Schizosaccharomyces pombe: one gene and its partner. The protein of the gene in region 2 interacts with the protein of the main gene of each other region in a pairwise test. Each region holds a gene or a part of one and is shown on either strand. Other genes may lie near its edges.

Region 1 (7,154 bases), on a different chromosome or scaffold from region 2:
AAGCACCATTTTCGCCTTGATTGATAAAATTTGATATGTTGATAGGGGTCTGTCCAATGAGTTTGTCTTCACCAGATGAATTGTAATTCATCACTTGTAAAAAGAAGATGTCATGTTTGGTAATTACGGGTGCATACATGTATTCATCCCAAAACGGATTTACATTGCTAGCAATGACCACTGTCCTAAACTGTTTCGTATTGTGGGACATGATGCGTGCGTAAGAATCACATTTTTTACCAGGAATCTTAGAGTGCAAATTATTCGCCGAACGTAAATGGATACGAATTGCACCGATGGGAGTAGCAAGAGCCATCGAAGAAATACTGTCGTTATTTAACTGAGCAGGTTTCCACATAACAGACATACGTACTCTACCGGATGGAGCATGTTGTAATGGAAACCATAAAAGACCCGTCTTAGTAGCAGCAAACAAGTCCTGCAAAGATACATTAGCGGTCCCAAAAGGATGCTCTGATTCCTCCGTGAATATTTGAACACCCAGAGTAGCATTCTTCCCTTCTGGAAGAAGAGTACCAAAGGATTCTTCCCATGATGGATTATTGTTTTTCTTAATCTTTCTGGTCGTATAGACTTCTTTATTGTTAATAATCAATTTGGCATAAGCGGTAGGTCGTTTCGATGGATCATTGCTAAGCTCTTTGCATTGATGCACAGTAAATTGCAGAACACCAGGGCCATCGACTTTAGTAATTTCTTCGCCAGAATCAGGCACAACTGCATGGAATTTCATGTCATAATTTAAACGACCAACAGTCTTGCCTTTTAAAGTCAATTCTACAAACGCATCATTTGTCACAGGCATAGCTTCCAGAGTAGCTAATGGTAGTACAGCACTGCCCAGAAGTTTGTCACTTCGAATATCGTTAAAATCATATACCTCCAAATTCAGGTTCTCTGAAAACGAATTCAAAACGGAATAAAAAGTTTCGTTGAATACCGGCGAACCAGTGTTGTGAGCCACTTTAGATTTACCAATAACACGATCCGCTGAATTTTTTATAACAACATATGGATCAACAGCTCCACCTAAACCGTCTTTAAAACCATCTCCCTTGCGTAACTTAAATTCTACGGCTCCGAGAGCAGTATTTAAGCCAGCGGCACCCATCATAGATTCGATATCCAGCTCATACACATTGGGACTGTACATCATTGGGCCCAACGTGTTATGTATCTGTTCGGTGATAAACGTAGTAAGACCCGGAATGTTGCCAATATCAAAACCAAACTTATCACCTCCGAGAGGTTTAAGAATGTAAGAGAAAACAGGTTTCTCGGTAAAAGTCAAACCGACAGTCTTGGCATACGGGTATTTATCAATAAGCTTTACTTTAACACGAAGGTTACCAGTGAAGGAAAGGTCCTCAATTAAAACAGGCATTTTAGCTGAAGCAATACTTTTTCCTATTTTCAAATCAAGAGCAATCTTAGGTTTGATGCAAGCAGCAATCTCACGACCCGTTAAGTCACTAATATCATTTGGACTAAATGCTAATCTCAAATCCATCATAACAGTGTCTTCCTCTGTTTTAGGGTAACTACGGATAAATCCCATTCTCGGTGATTTGGTTCCCAGAGTAAATTCGGAGAGAGCCATGGAGTCAATAAAGCTGGGGACATTTTCTGAAAGAATCTGATCCGTAATTTCCGTTATTCTCTCACTTAAAGAAGGTTCAAAAATATACCAAAATTGTTGTAAAAAGGTGTTTAGCCAAGTGACAGTTTCGCTATCATTTTCTAATTTTCGTGTAGAAAGATATCTCGTATAGTCGTCTTTGAAATTGACTTTAACACGTCGATCGCAAATTCGGTAGTACTGGATACAAACAGCCATAATAATGAAAAGACTCAAAAATCCGAAGCGCAAATAACCAAACAAAAATGACATGACTGCCGTATACAAAACAAGCCTTGAATCCTGGAAATGTTGCATAAAGAGAATTTTAAGCTCAATGCATAATTGTAAACGTTCATCAGTCAGCCAAGGACAGTATTGTGCCAAAATGTTCCTAACCTTTTGGTGCCTTTGAATGAATTGCATCGCATCCCTTTTCCTTAATTCCCTCTCGCTAACAGGACGAGTGGGCACTCCATCAACGTCTGATTTCTCTTCAGATGATTTGGGTGCTTGCATTTGTTTAGGGACCTTTAAGTCTCTAGCACCTGAGCCACGGGCTCCAGTATCATCCTGTACTTGAACCTCAGAAACTCCAGCTGATTGTGGGTTTAAGTTATTCTTGTCTGATGGTGAAGCTTCTTGTTCCTTAACTTTCACCTTAACACCACCACCAGCTGTATCAGTAGGAAGATGCATTTTTTCAACCTTTTCATTCGGGTCGGCATTGCTAGCACCCTTAGAGGGCTCAGCCTGCGAAGACATTGTTTCTGCTTAAACAATCAAAATAAGGTGTAGTTTCTGCTTTATATAAATAACTGGTTAATCCGATAACCAAAAAATAAATAGTTTCCGTAATTAATAAATATTGCTAGACCAAAAGAGAACGAATAGTCAAAAAAAAAAAGGTCTTATCACTGCTTGGTTCGTGACAGATGTTGGAGATTAAAGTCACAGTGTATAACTGGCTGTCATAATGAATCAAGAGTACACCAATATCTGGCCAGTTTTACTTTCCCTTAAGATTCCTTAAAATAAGTTGGAGTTTTTGGCGCTACACAGAACGGCGTTTAAATTCAGTAACAGGATTTAGCATAACAAATAGGGCGCCCTTGTTAAGTTATATAATCGGTCTCATATTGAAACACTGTAGAATAATAGTAGTGTCGAAAGCGGATTGAAAACTAAATATGAAACGACTTCCTTGCGATTTTCATAATTATAGGTGTATTTTACACAAGAAACGTTTATCTACAGGATTGCCGAGTATTTTATAAAGGTTTAAGTTTATTAATTCACATTTTTTTAGCTAATCAACGCTACAAAATTAACGCAAGGCTAAAAATCCTCAACACAGCTGATTAAGAATCGAGTTTTTAAATAACCTGTATTAAATAGTAAAAACCAAAACTATATACTTTAAAGGCGGTCATAATATTCAGTGTAGTCGGGAACATTTTCCTTAAGACCCTTACGCTTACGAGCTTCGCAAACAATTTGACCAGGTTTAGAAGTAGGATCCAATGGATCACCAGACATGGGAGACCAATGGTCAAATACCAATTGAGGGAAAGCTTGACCAGCAGTAGCTTGACGAAGTTCACCAGTGAAACCGAAAGACTCGTTGACGGGAAGGTAAGCCTTGATGTTGTACAAGGGAGTACCAACACGTTGCTCCTCAGAAAAGACATGACCACGCTTCTTGTTAAGGACAGAGTAAATACCACCCATAGCGTTTTCGGAAACTTGGATTTCGACCAAGAAAACGGGCTCCTGGATGATGGGAGAAGCCAAAAGGGTAGAAGCGTAGACGACACGACGAGCAGTAGGAATAATTTGACCACCACCACGGTGAATAGCATCAGCGTGCAAAACAACATCAAGAATGTTGAAACGGCAAGAACGCAAGTTCTCCTCAAACATGGGACCCTCCTTGGAAGCCCAGGCAAAAGCAGCAACAACGGAATCCTTGATTTCGTTTAAGTAAGCAACAGCCTTGGTTTGATCAACAACAACATTGGCACCAGTGGTGTCAGGACCGAAACACCAAATCTTACGAGCATCAGTGACATCCCATCCAAACTCGTCAGCCATGATACGAGCACGAACCTTGAAATCATCACGAGGATTGACGTGACCAGTCTCAATGGCGACAGAGAGTTCTTCACTCATGGGCTCAGCAGTCATGAAGATACGGTTGTGCTTGTTGGGAGACTTAGAGAGAGCAGTCATGCTAGAGGGCTCGCTAACGGACTCACGGTAAGAAACGACGGGAGGAGAAATCTTAAGAGGGATACCAGCATGGTCTTCTTGCAAATCCTTCAAGCAAATCTCCAAGTGGAGCTCACCAGCACCAGCAACAATGTGTTCACCAGATTCACTGGTGGTACACAAAACACAAGGGTCGGATTTGGAAAGACGCTTAAGACCTTCAACAAGTTTAGGCAAATCATTACCGTTCTTAACCTCAACAGCGACTTGGACGACTGGGGAGACGGAAAACTTCATAACCTTCATGTTGTGGGCAACTTCGGAAGTGGTCAAAGTACCAGATTTGACCAAAAATTGATCAACACCGACCAAACCAATAATGTTACCAGCAGGACAATCCTCAATAGGCTCAATTCTGGAACCCATCATAAGGACGGTACGTTGGATAGCCTTGATGAAGAGATCGTCCTTCTTACCGGGAACATAGTTAGGGCCTTGAATGCGGACCTTCAAACCAGAACGGACAGTACCGGAGAAGACACGACCAAAAGCATAGAAACGACCACGATCAGATGTGGGAACCATCTTAGAAACGTAGATCATAAGAGGAGCATTGGCATCACAGTTACGGATACCAACAGCACACTCGTCGTCCATGGGACCTTCATACAAAGTCTCAGCACGATATTGTTGAGCAGTCTTAGGAGAAGGAAGATGAAGGACAATCATTTCCATAAGGGCATCAGCAGCAGGCAAGAACTTGCGCATAACGACCTTCAAGAGAGCCTTACCCTCAAGCTCCTTCTCATCGGGCTTGATGGTAACCTCGAGCTTACTCAAAAGAGTGAAGACCTCGTCTTTGCGGCTGTTCATAACAGCATCGAAAATACGATAAATGGGATCCAAGATGAACATGTTGAAAGCACGTTGGTTAGAGTTACCGTTAGCATCGGTAGCAGACTTGGACCATTTCTTGGTCTTAGGGTTGAAGTAGTTTTCACCCCAAAGACGTTGCATCATCTTGTTACGGTCAATACCAAACTTCTTAGCATAACGGTTGGCAAATTGACGGACAGTGAAAGCCCAACCATGAAGACCGGAAGCAAAAGCTACAGTACCCTTGTCAGGGAAAACTTGGCAGTCGCCAAGGACCTTGTCGTAATAAGTAGAAATAACGACGTTAACAGATTCAACGACACGAGCAAAATTTTGATAAAGCTCTTCTTGAGAAATTTGAAGTTCGAGCAAAGCACGGTCAACTTTGTTAACAACAACAACTGGTCTAATACGTTCACCCAAAGCTTGACGGAGCACAGTCTCGGTTTGGACACAGACACCCTCAATGGTATCAACAACGACCAAAGCACCGTCAGTGACACGAAGAGCGGCAGTAACCTCAGAAGAAAAGTCAACGTGACCGGGAGAGTCAATCAAGTTAACCAAGAAGTCAGTACCATCAGCAGGCTCCTTCATATCCTTCATATCATCGTCAGTCATTTCAGCAAACAAGGAAATGGCAGTAGACTTGATGGTAACACCACGCTCTTGTTCGTCAGCACGAGTATCCATGAAACGAGCATCACCAGCCTTGGCAGCAGAAATAATACCGGCCTTTTGAACCAAAGAATCAGTCAACGTAGACTTGCCGTGATCGACGTGAGCAATCACAGACATGTTACGGACATTGGATGGTTTTCCCATCAAATTACGGACCTCTTCAGGAGTGAACGCAACCATTTTTTAGAGATTTTTAAATGTCAGTGGCGGACGAAACAATTTCAAACACACCAAGTCAAATTGATATTATAGTCTGAAACCCTAACCCTGTGTTTTTTGCGATTTATTGCGTTGCAGTATTTTAATCGTCGTTATAATAATGCATTAAGTGAAATTTAAATTAAAAGAAAATACCTATTTGAGAATTAGAGAGGGATTACATGACTAGGAAGGTTGAGTTTTAAAGTCATTCTCTCTTATTTCAAGTTTTTGTTTAGTGGGTAATTGTGCTTTTCTGGCTTAAAAATAATCTTTGTTGTACAAACTGCTTTGGATCTTTTATTAAAGATTGGTGATTTTCGAATAAGTAATTTTTAAATACATTTATTATTCTGCTTTCTGTGACAATGTACCAAGGATTAAAACATCTTGACACAGCAAATCTAAATACTAAAAGTACCTAATTTTTGAAGTCTAAGGCTGTGCTCAGGGCCTAAGATTAATGGTTTCATTTAGAAAAATTTAATGACAGTTGAATATTTGTTAAATTCAATGAAATTTTATTCACCGATTAACTTGCCTTACAAAGACTTCATACCAAATGATGTTGAAAAAAATGGTTCAAGCTAGTAAATCCAAATCAATTGAAAGATTCTGCTTTTAGAAAGGCGTAAAAAGGCTTCTTCTAAGGTACCCAGCTTCACCCTATACTAATTTTAGTAAATTACTTGCGTGAGCCTTCATAATAAATACTAGGAAATTCACTTACATAATGCATAATTATTTAATTGAAAGCTTAAATTCATATTCCAGTAGCATATTATATACAAATATACAAGCATTCTTCCTCTTGGAAATTGAGGATACTCTATAATAGCGAAAGAAACCTGTCAGGCATAACAGAGTATAATCCCATACTGTGTGGTAATTAAAACAATAATATTTTACAAATATTGATCAATTACTAAAAAAATTAAATAAAATAAAATTTGGAACGTGAGGTTATTAGCCTTCCTAAAACAAAACTAAGGTTGTTATATTAGCGAAGACTTTAAAGCTTCGCTAGTTAGTTTAAGTACTGAATATATTAGATGTCATTAAAAAGTTACAAAGGAAAACAGTTTCTTTATTTCTCCTAGATATAGTGAATAATTGAATATACATAGCACTAAGGATTGCTATACAATCATATGAAAATTTTCGGGTTCGAAGATGTTCTGTTAAATACAGCATAGCATCATTCTTACGTTAAAACATGAAATGACATGCCAAAACGTAAACGACAGATTCCGGATTTGGTAATTGAAGAAGCAAACTATCTCGATAGTGTCATACTCCTTATTCGGTATTTATTCTTTTCATAGCTCTGTCTCTGCCTTATATTTGTAGGGCCTTCCTGCACTTTATGATCAGTACTTTCAATACTTGTAACACTACAATACCCTCAATTGCCAGCAGCGTTATTTTGTAAGTTCCTTCTAATAATAAAAAAAAGCATTTTACTCTTATAATGGCATCTAAAGGAATCGATAAAACCATTTATTTTGTTCGACATGGTCAAGTTTCTCATGATGTTGACGAAAATGGC
Region 2 (7,941 bases):
ACCTGCGTTTAAGAAGGCTGAAATTACTCTACGAAGCTCATTATTTGATTCTTTTCTTTTATTCACGTAAAACCAAGAAATTTTGATATCGAAAGTTATAAAACTTGTTATCAAACTAATTGCAGTCTAGTATCGGTTTTAACGATAGGAAGAAGTGCGGTAAGCTTTTTTGAGATCTAATATTACAGTACACAGGTATTATAAGTAGCAGCCTATTGTTGGTATTCTTATAATTGTAATTATCATTAAATAATCGAACTGAGGAACCAGCTCGGTGGAACTTCATTTTATGATAATTCTAAAATTTTTCATTAAAGGGTAGTTATATAAAGCATAAAAAATTTCATGCGTAATTGTTGATAAAAGGTTCTTGACTAATATTTAGAAATATGAGCATCTTGTAAACGCAGAGCAAATTGCATAGTGTAGTGCAGTAATGGTGACAGTAGTGTAAAGGACTGATACCATTTTTACGAATGTCAGCGTTGTTACAACTTTTGACGCTGAAGTAGGTAGTCATGTAAGACCTTAAGTACACTAATCTTAAGCGCAAATAAATTGATGTTAATGGAGACTTAAATAAAAGAAAACTCATTAAAATTAACAAATTATTTCATGTGCTTAAAAGGAATGGAATTGGAAGCTTATATCCAAAGTTTGGGGTTAGGAATAGAAAGCTATTCACAAAGTGCTACACAATTTCATGACGAAGCAAACCAAAGTTTTAACATACCCATCTCTACTATTATTAAATTAAAAGAAGCTTGTAGAGAATTGGAAACATCAAAAGTAGTTGCAAAATCTTTGGTAAGTGGCTATTTGTGGGATCAAGGTTTCTTACTGTATCGATGCTATATTAGTACAGATTCTAAATGAAAAAGGCCTAGTGAAGGTTGATACAGGGACATTATGAGGCAATAATCTGATACTTTAGGATATAGGTATAGTGGTTTAATTGCAAAATCTCTTTCCGTTTCAATATCTTCGTTCTTTGATGATCAATGCCCAGCATAAGTCTTATATTGAAACAGATGCTAACAGATTAGAATTGGAGCCATCTACTTAGAGTCATAAGTTTATTATGGGAAAAGGATGTTTCACTTGAATTGATGAAATTGTTAGCAAATTGCTTGAGACAGGTACCCAGTATTTCAGTACAAATTGTACACAATGAGTCCTTAAAACAACTCACTACCTCTGTTTTCGAAGTAAGAGCCCCAAAAGTTTTATCACTGATTTCAACCTTTGTATTTGTCTATAAGGCAGACAAAGAGGTTGAATTTGATTTTTTTTATATTTTCTTCCTTCTTACTCAACATTACTTTTTTAACACACGATCAGAATGACGATTTGGAGAGAAGAGTTGTTTTCATGCGTTTTTTATTCATTCTCCTATCTACACAAACCGATGATATTTGCTTAGATATGCGACAGGTTAGAACTCAGTTAATACAGGTAAGTATTATATCGACGCTTTTTTTTTATTCGAAATAACCCAGTATTGAAAGATGTTGAAGAAAATGTGGACACTAAATAGCTCGCCCTCTAATAATAGCCAAGATAACGAAATGGTTTTAACTGAAATTTTGAGGCTGCTTTTTCCAATTAGCAAACGTTCATACTTAAAGGAGGAAGACGAACAAAAGTACGTTTATTTGAAAAATTAATGAGTTCCTTTATCTCTGGTTTTGCTAATTCTTCCTTCAGAATTCTTCTACTTGTAATTGAAATTTGGGCCAGTTCTTTAAATAACAATCCTAATTCGCCGCTTCGATGGCATGCTACCAATGCTCTACTATCTTTCAATCTGCAGCTGCTCTCCCTTGACCAAGCCATTTATGTTTCTGAAATTGCTTGTCAAACTTTACAATCCATACTTATTTCCCGCGAAGTAGAATACCTAGAAAAGGGCCTAAATTTGTGCTTTGACATAGCAGCAAAGTATCAAAATACTCTGCCACCGATTTTAGCAATTCTGCTTTCTCTTCTTTCATTTTTTAACATTAAACAGAACCTTTCTATGCTATTATTTCCAACTAACGATGATCGCAAACAGAGTCTTCAAAAGGGTAAAAGCTTCCGTTGCCTTTTACTGAGACTTTTAACTATACCAATTGTTGAGCCCATTGGCACTTACTACGCGTCCCTTTTAAATGAACTATGCGACGGGGATTCACAGCAAATTGCACGAATATTTGGAGCTGGATATGCGATGGGTATCTCACAACATTCCGAAACTATGCCATTTCCTAGCCCACTTTCAAAAGCCGCTTCACCAGTATTCCAGAAAAATTCAAGGGGCCAAGAAAATACTGAAGAAAATAACCTTGCAATCGATCCTATTACTGGGAGTATGTGCACAAATAGAAATAAATCTCAAAGACTTGAGTTAAGCCAAGAAGAGAAAGAGCGAGAAGCAGAAAGATTATTCTATTTGTTTCAACGGTAAGTTTGTTTGTTTATTTATTTTTTTTTAAAAAAATACATATATATGTCTCGAGTATATTTGGCTGACGTTGGTAGCTTGGAAAAAAATAGTACTATTCAAGTTACTAATCCTATCCAACAAGCTGTAAATAGCGGCTTGTATGAGAAATTGGATGATAATGATTCTGATTAAAAAAAACTAAAGTATAGACGTTGTCTTTTGTCTTATTTTTCAAATGAGTTCGGAGAGTTTCATATATCATTGTTATCATAGTTTTGTTGGACCTATACATATTTTACTGTTAATGTTTTCCACTTTTAAATTTCATGAAATTCTTCATTTTATCAAAATTAGCAAAGCAAGTTAGTACGTCGTGTATTTTACATTGTCTAGTGAGTTGGTAAACTTCATTTGTATACCGTAAATGTCTATATTTTAACCGTCGGATATTGCAATTCGCATTATGCGGTATGTAATATGTAATGAGTTATTAAACGACATTATTTTTAGTAAGATTTTGATCATGTATTATTCGGTAGGTAAAAGACTTAAAAGAAGACGGCAGAATGGAAAGATGGAAGTAATATCATGATATTCGGCAGTCATTAGGCATAATTTGCAGTTTCCCCATCTTTTCTCATAGTTGTTTATTAGTAATTAATAATAAACTTTGTCAACAATTCAGGAAAGGGTTTGTTTATTGAAAAAAGAGCGATAGCTTCCGTCGTAAATTTTTCATTTGCTTTTCGAATGTAGTGGTTGAATCATGTTATAAACCTCAATATTTATTTTCCTTGCTAGAGAGTTAGCTACTTTTTTCTAAACTAAAGATTAAAACGACAGCTGTACGAAATTGACTTTACGATAATATAGATTTCATTGATATGCGCATGAATAGGAAAACTCATGTTGGGTAAATAATGACGTAGGTTTTTTGTTGTGAAAACTCTCCGTCTCCGCAAATCGTAAGCGACGGGATGTACCCCACAATTTTAAGGATCTTCCAATTGAGTCACTTGTGAAATTTATTGCGTAAATCAAACACTCTACCGTGAGCATTACTGCAATGATGGAAAAAACATCTAATATGAGGTGCGACGATACAGTAGAACGTCCGATTCCTTCAAATATATTTATTATTTGAATATTTAAAAAGTTAACAATCGCAGAAATTTGCGTAACTTAACCCAACAATTGTGTAAAGTAAAGGAATTAACTATTCATATTGCTATGCTTTTAACGTAGATATTGCAGAAGAACAATTTTATGACGAACAAGAGGAAGTCGCATAAGTTTTATAGATTTATGAAATGTTTTCAAGTGCATGAGCAACAATTGCGTGAATGCACAAAATACGTCTTTGCCAATAAAGCGCTCAAATCATAAGATTAGAAAGAAAAATTCTTACGTTATGGTTTATTTACAAATCTAAATGCGTCCTAAAAATTTTATTTTGGTTAGTTGACTACAAAGTAAAAAAAAAAATAAGGTAAAGGAAACGATATACAGTCAATGAAATGAGTATTTTTCTAACTCTACTAGAATGATTATTTTCTAGATCTCTCTAGAAAGATAGCACAGCCTTGCGTACCGAAGTTTATATTTGAATCTGCCTCGGTTGTGGCGCATAAGTGGCAAATTTGGACTTTTCTAGAGCAAGCACTAACGAACATCTAAGTCCACCCAATACAGAGTTTGAGTGTTAGCAAAAGACGCCGTTCCGAAAGTACAAACTCCGGCAAATTCGTGATCTTTCACAACGTTTACGAGAAAATTCGAGTCATCGTACAATATATGACATCCATCCCATTCCGTGCTTCCCAGAAAGGTATAAATAAGGGTACTCCTTCCGCTAGTCCAGCATCGAACAAATACAGATTTGAATTGAATTCATATAATTTCAAGTTACTCGCAATTGTTTAAATTTTAAAAAATGTCTTTGCAACCTTTTTTCGGCTTTCCCCCTACTGTCAACGACTTGTTCTCTGACTTTGTTAGTTACTCCCCTCGTTTGAACAACCAAATTCCTGGGGAGTTGTCTCCTTCGATTGATGTGCATGAGGGTAAAGACACTGTTAGCGTTGATGTAGAACTCCCTGGTGTTAAGAAAGAGGACGTTCAAGTCCATTATGATAGCGGAAAACTTACTATTTCTGGCGAAGTCGTCAATGAGAGAAAGAATGAAAGCACCGAGGGTAACCAACGCTGGTCAGAGCGTCGCTTTGGCTCATTCTCTCGTACCATTACTATTCCAGCCAAGATTGATGCAGATCGCATTGAGGCCAACTTCAGTAATGGCCTATTGACTGTCACCTTGCCCAAGGTCGAGAAGTCCCAAACTAAGAAACAAATTGCTATTAAGTAAAATCGTCTCTTCCGATTTTAATATGATAGTTTCGAAATGGTTATGAGACCAATCTTGTTGGATTGTGAGCATATATTATTGTTTGATTTAACAATCAATCATAACATATGCAATTAATGATCCGCTTGCCATTGGATTGATGAATTTTGATAATGAATTGAACACGGTCTTCTAAACAGTAAAAGAGCATTTAAATTCCACATCAAGCAATTTATGGCCAGCTGTCAGACAGTGTTTTAATGATCTTGACTACCACTTGTTACGATTCTCCAATGATGAGCAAGTGATCTCTAGCAATTTTTCAAAATAAATAAATAAATAAATATTTTTTTATTCCTAATTAGAAAACAAGTTGTTTCAAAATGCTCTATCGTAATATGTGTAGATTTATTTTTATTTTTTTCAAAAAAAAAGAACAGTATTATGTAGCTCCTAATGAATTAACAGGAGTTACATTAGCATATCATAAAGTTGTGTATGCTCTTTGAGTCTTAAATCACCGGGGCAATGAAATCGTCTTCCTTTTGCGGAGATCTGATAATATGCTCTTAACAATTTTTGGTTTTATTAGTGAGCCATAAGGTTTGTTTAAGCGGAAGTTTTGTGATTTCATGTTAGGGACAAGGGCTTCATAGATGTGTTCCTTTCTATTTTTATTCTTTATATTACTAGTTCATTGGTTCATGGACACGCTAACCTAAAAGTAGTTAAATCTCCTTGGCCTTGAGCGAGTGTTTCCATACTACCACTAATCCTTGGGTGATCCAATGTTTCCTATAAAAAAAAGTACACATAAATATATAGCCTAGGGTACCTTTCTTTTTCAGTAATCAACATACAGTTTAAAGTTAAGAATGTTATGGTTTTCGTGTGTGATTAAACCAAATTCTTGTTTGCTATAATATCTAGCTCTACAGTAAAGCCGAAAGCTCTTGTATTGCTATGGCTTTGTAAAACTTAAATTCGGCGAATCTCGTTAATATACACTATTCTATCAACACCAAAACCTAAAGTATTTATTATCAAACAGCTGCGTTTAACGTACATGCTTTTCGATATAACAATCATGACAATTCATAGAACTTAATTAATAGAACCAATAATTTCCGGAGATAATTTTAATCTTCGGTTTGCATTTCTGTTCAAATGTCAGAAGTCGAAACGCCTACCGCAGCCTCGCCCACTTTTCCTGTTGAAACCTCTCACCGTTTAGATACTTTGCATACATCAAGCACAGAGCAAATCATTAAAGATTCCGAGAATGTTGTCCACACTACGTTGAAATTGCCGACTAGTACGTTGTCGCGCGAATTTTGGATGAAAGATGAAAGAACAAACAACTGTTCATTATGTGAGACGGAATTTACTTTATTTCGAAGGAAACATCATTGTAGAATATGTGGGAAAATTATCTGCAAATATTGCTTAAAAGAAGCTCCTGGATTTATCTTTCGTCTCCAAGGATCGATCAAAGTGTGTCGTCCATGTGCTTCAATTTTAGTTAATAATTATTCTCGAAGCCAGCTATTCAATCATTCATTAAACGAATCCAAAAATAGAGATCTTACGGAGCAACATCCGTTTGTTACACTGGACGAACTTAATTCGAATGATCAAGTACTATCATCATTTGGAGATTTAAGTAGCACATTTGAGATGCCTAATAATATTCATCCTCCTGAAGTTGCTCCAATGATAGCTATTCCCTCTAGTCGCTCGAATTATGATTCTCCTGGTTGGGCTCACCATTCCATCTTTCTTGACTGGAGCAAAAGGAATTTAGATTCGAATGTTATAAATGTTGAAGATTCCGAAAGTGGTAAATATAATGCTTTAACCATTACAAATAGTTACGATGCTGGTCCTAGCTCTGTTTCCACAGATTATCGTCCCGTCAATTTTGGAAAAGTACCTTCATACTCAAAGTTAAGAAAGAATAAAGCGTTTTCCTCAGCGAAAGTCTCTGATATGTACTTGTCGGCTGATGAAAGAAACCGGCTCGAGGATTTTAGCAAAGGCGACAGAGGCCTTTCATTTGTTAACCTTTCTCCAAATATAAAAGCAACGTCTTACGATCGATTGAGCACAGTAATAAATGAACCCTTTATTTCAAGAAGTTCTTCCTTGACTGATGAACGGGGTTTGGCCGATTCGGGCAATTCCTATCATCATTTCTCCGACTCCGACGATGAATCACTATTCAATGATGGATTGGGCCTTTCTTTTCATGCCAATAGTGCAATTATTAAGCAACGCCAGCAAAATGTTGCATCAATTCAGCGTTACGGTAATGAAAGTTACTTATCAAATTTTTTAAAAGCTTTTCTTCCGAAAACGGTTTGCGACTATCTTTTTCCTTCTTCTACTATTCCCGATGGACTTCCCGCTTTAATTGAAAACTTCAATGCGCGAGTTGATAAGGTGAATCATCCCGGTGGAACAGAAGAGCCTCTTCCTTACCAGGGAAAGTCGCGTGCTTCTTCTGTAGTTACCTCTTCCAAAAGCACATGTATTTTACCACCTTGGATTCTCTTCTCTGATTCATTTAATCAGCTTGTATGTACTTTTCTGGGAAAATTACTCTTTCAAATGCTAAATGATGAGGGTGTGGATTCGCCTATGCAATGGGTACTTTGTCTCCCAAAAATTCTTTTAAAAATGGCTTTGGATCTAGGTCCTGATATTCGCTCTGGTGATGATATTGATGTCCGCAGCTATGTAAAAATAAAAAAGATTCCCGGGGGAAGCATTCAAGATTGTTTTCTTGTTAATGGTGTTTTGTTCTCAAAAAAAGCTTCGTCCAAATCTATGGACCGCTCGCTTCGTCGGCCTCGTATAGCTCTTTTAACTTTCAGTTTAGACTACGCTTGTGACGAACAGAGAATTTTATCCTTGGATTTAATCATCTCTCAGCAAGAAGAGTATATTATAAATCTTGTCAATAGAATCTGCATGCTTAAACCGAATCTAGTTTTTGCTCAGGGTCAAATCCCCAGTATTGCCTTGAAGTACTTTGAAGAACATGGCGTTATAGCCTTTCATGGACTTAAAGAATCAGTTTTATATGACATAGCTAGATGTTGTCGTGCAGACATAATATCGTCAATAGATAAATTGTCGCTTTGTCCTCGTCTTGGTACTTGCGGCA

The links. Proteins that work in one complex are often made in the same cells at the same time.
Region 1: the proteins of hsp16 (region 2) and eft201 interact in a two-hybrid assay, tested with the Schizosaccharomyces pombe proteins (one study listed by BioGRID).

Annotation. Positions count from the first base shown.
Region 1 is NC_003424.3:2,904,643-2,911,796, forward strand, and holds eft201 (translation elongation factor 2 eft201), read right to left. Parts: upstream 5,620-7,154; 5' UTR 5,588-5,619; coding exon 3,059-5,587; 3' UTR 3,001-3,058; downstream 1-3,000. Other genes in the region: tcb3 (tricalbin), read right to left, coding at 1-2,404; SPOM_SPAC513.02 (phosphoglycerate mutase/6-phosphofructo-2-kinase family), read left to right, coding at 7,077-7,154.
Region 2 is NC_003423.3:2,657,342-2,665,282, reverse strand, and holds hsp16 (heat shock protein Hsp16), read left to right. Parts: upstream 1-4,290; 5' UTR 4,291-4,361; coding exon 4,362-4,793; 3' UTR 4,794-5,144; downstream 5,145-7,941. Other genes in the region: ric8 (synembryn ric8-like protein), read left to right, coding at 631-807, 1,047-1,247, 1,342-1,455, 1,509-1,645, 1,708-2,445, 2,524-2,586, 2,633-2,795; SPOM_SPBC3E7.17 (uncharacterized protein), read right to left, coding at 3,305-3,487; 1-phosphatidylinositol-3-phosphate 5-kinase Fab1, read left to right, coding at 5,940-7,941.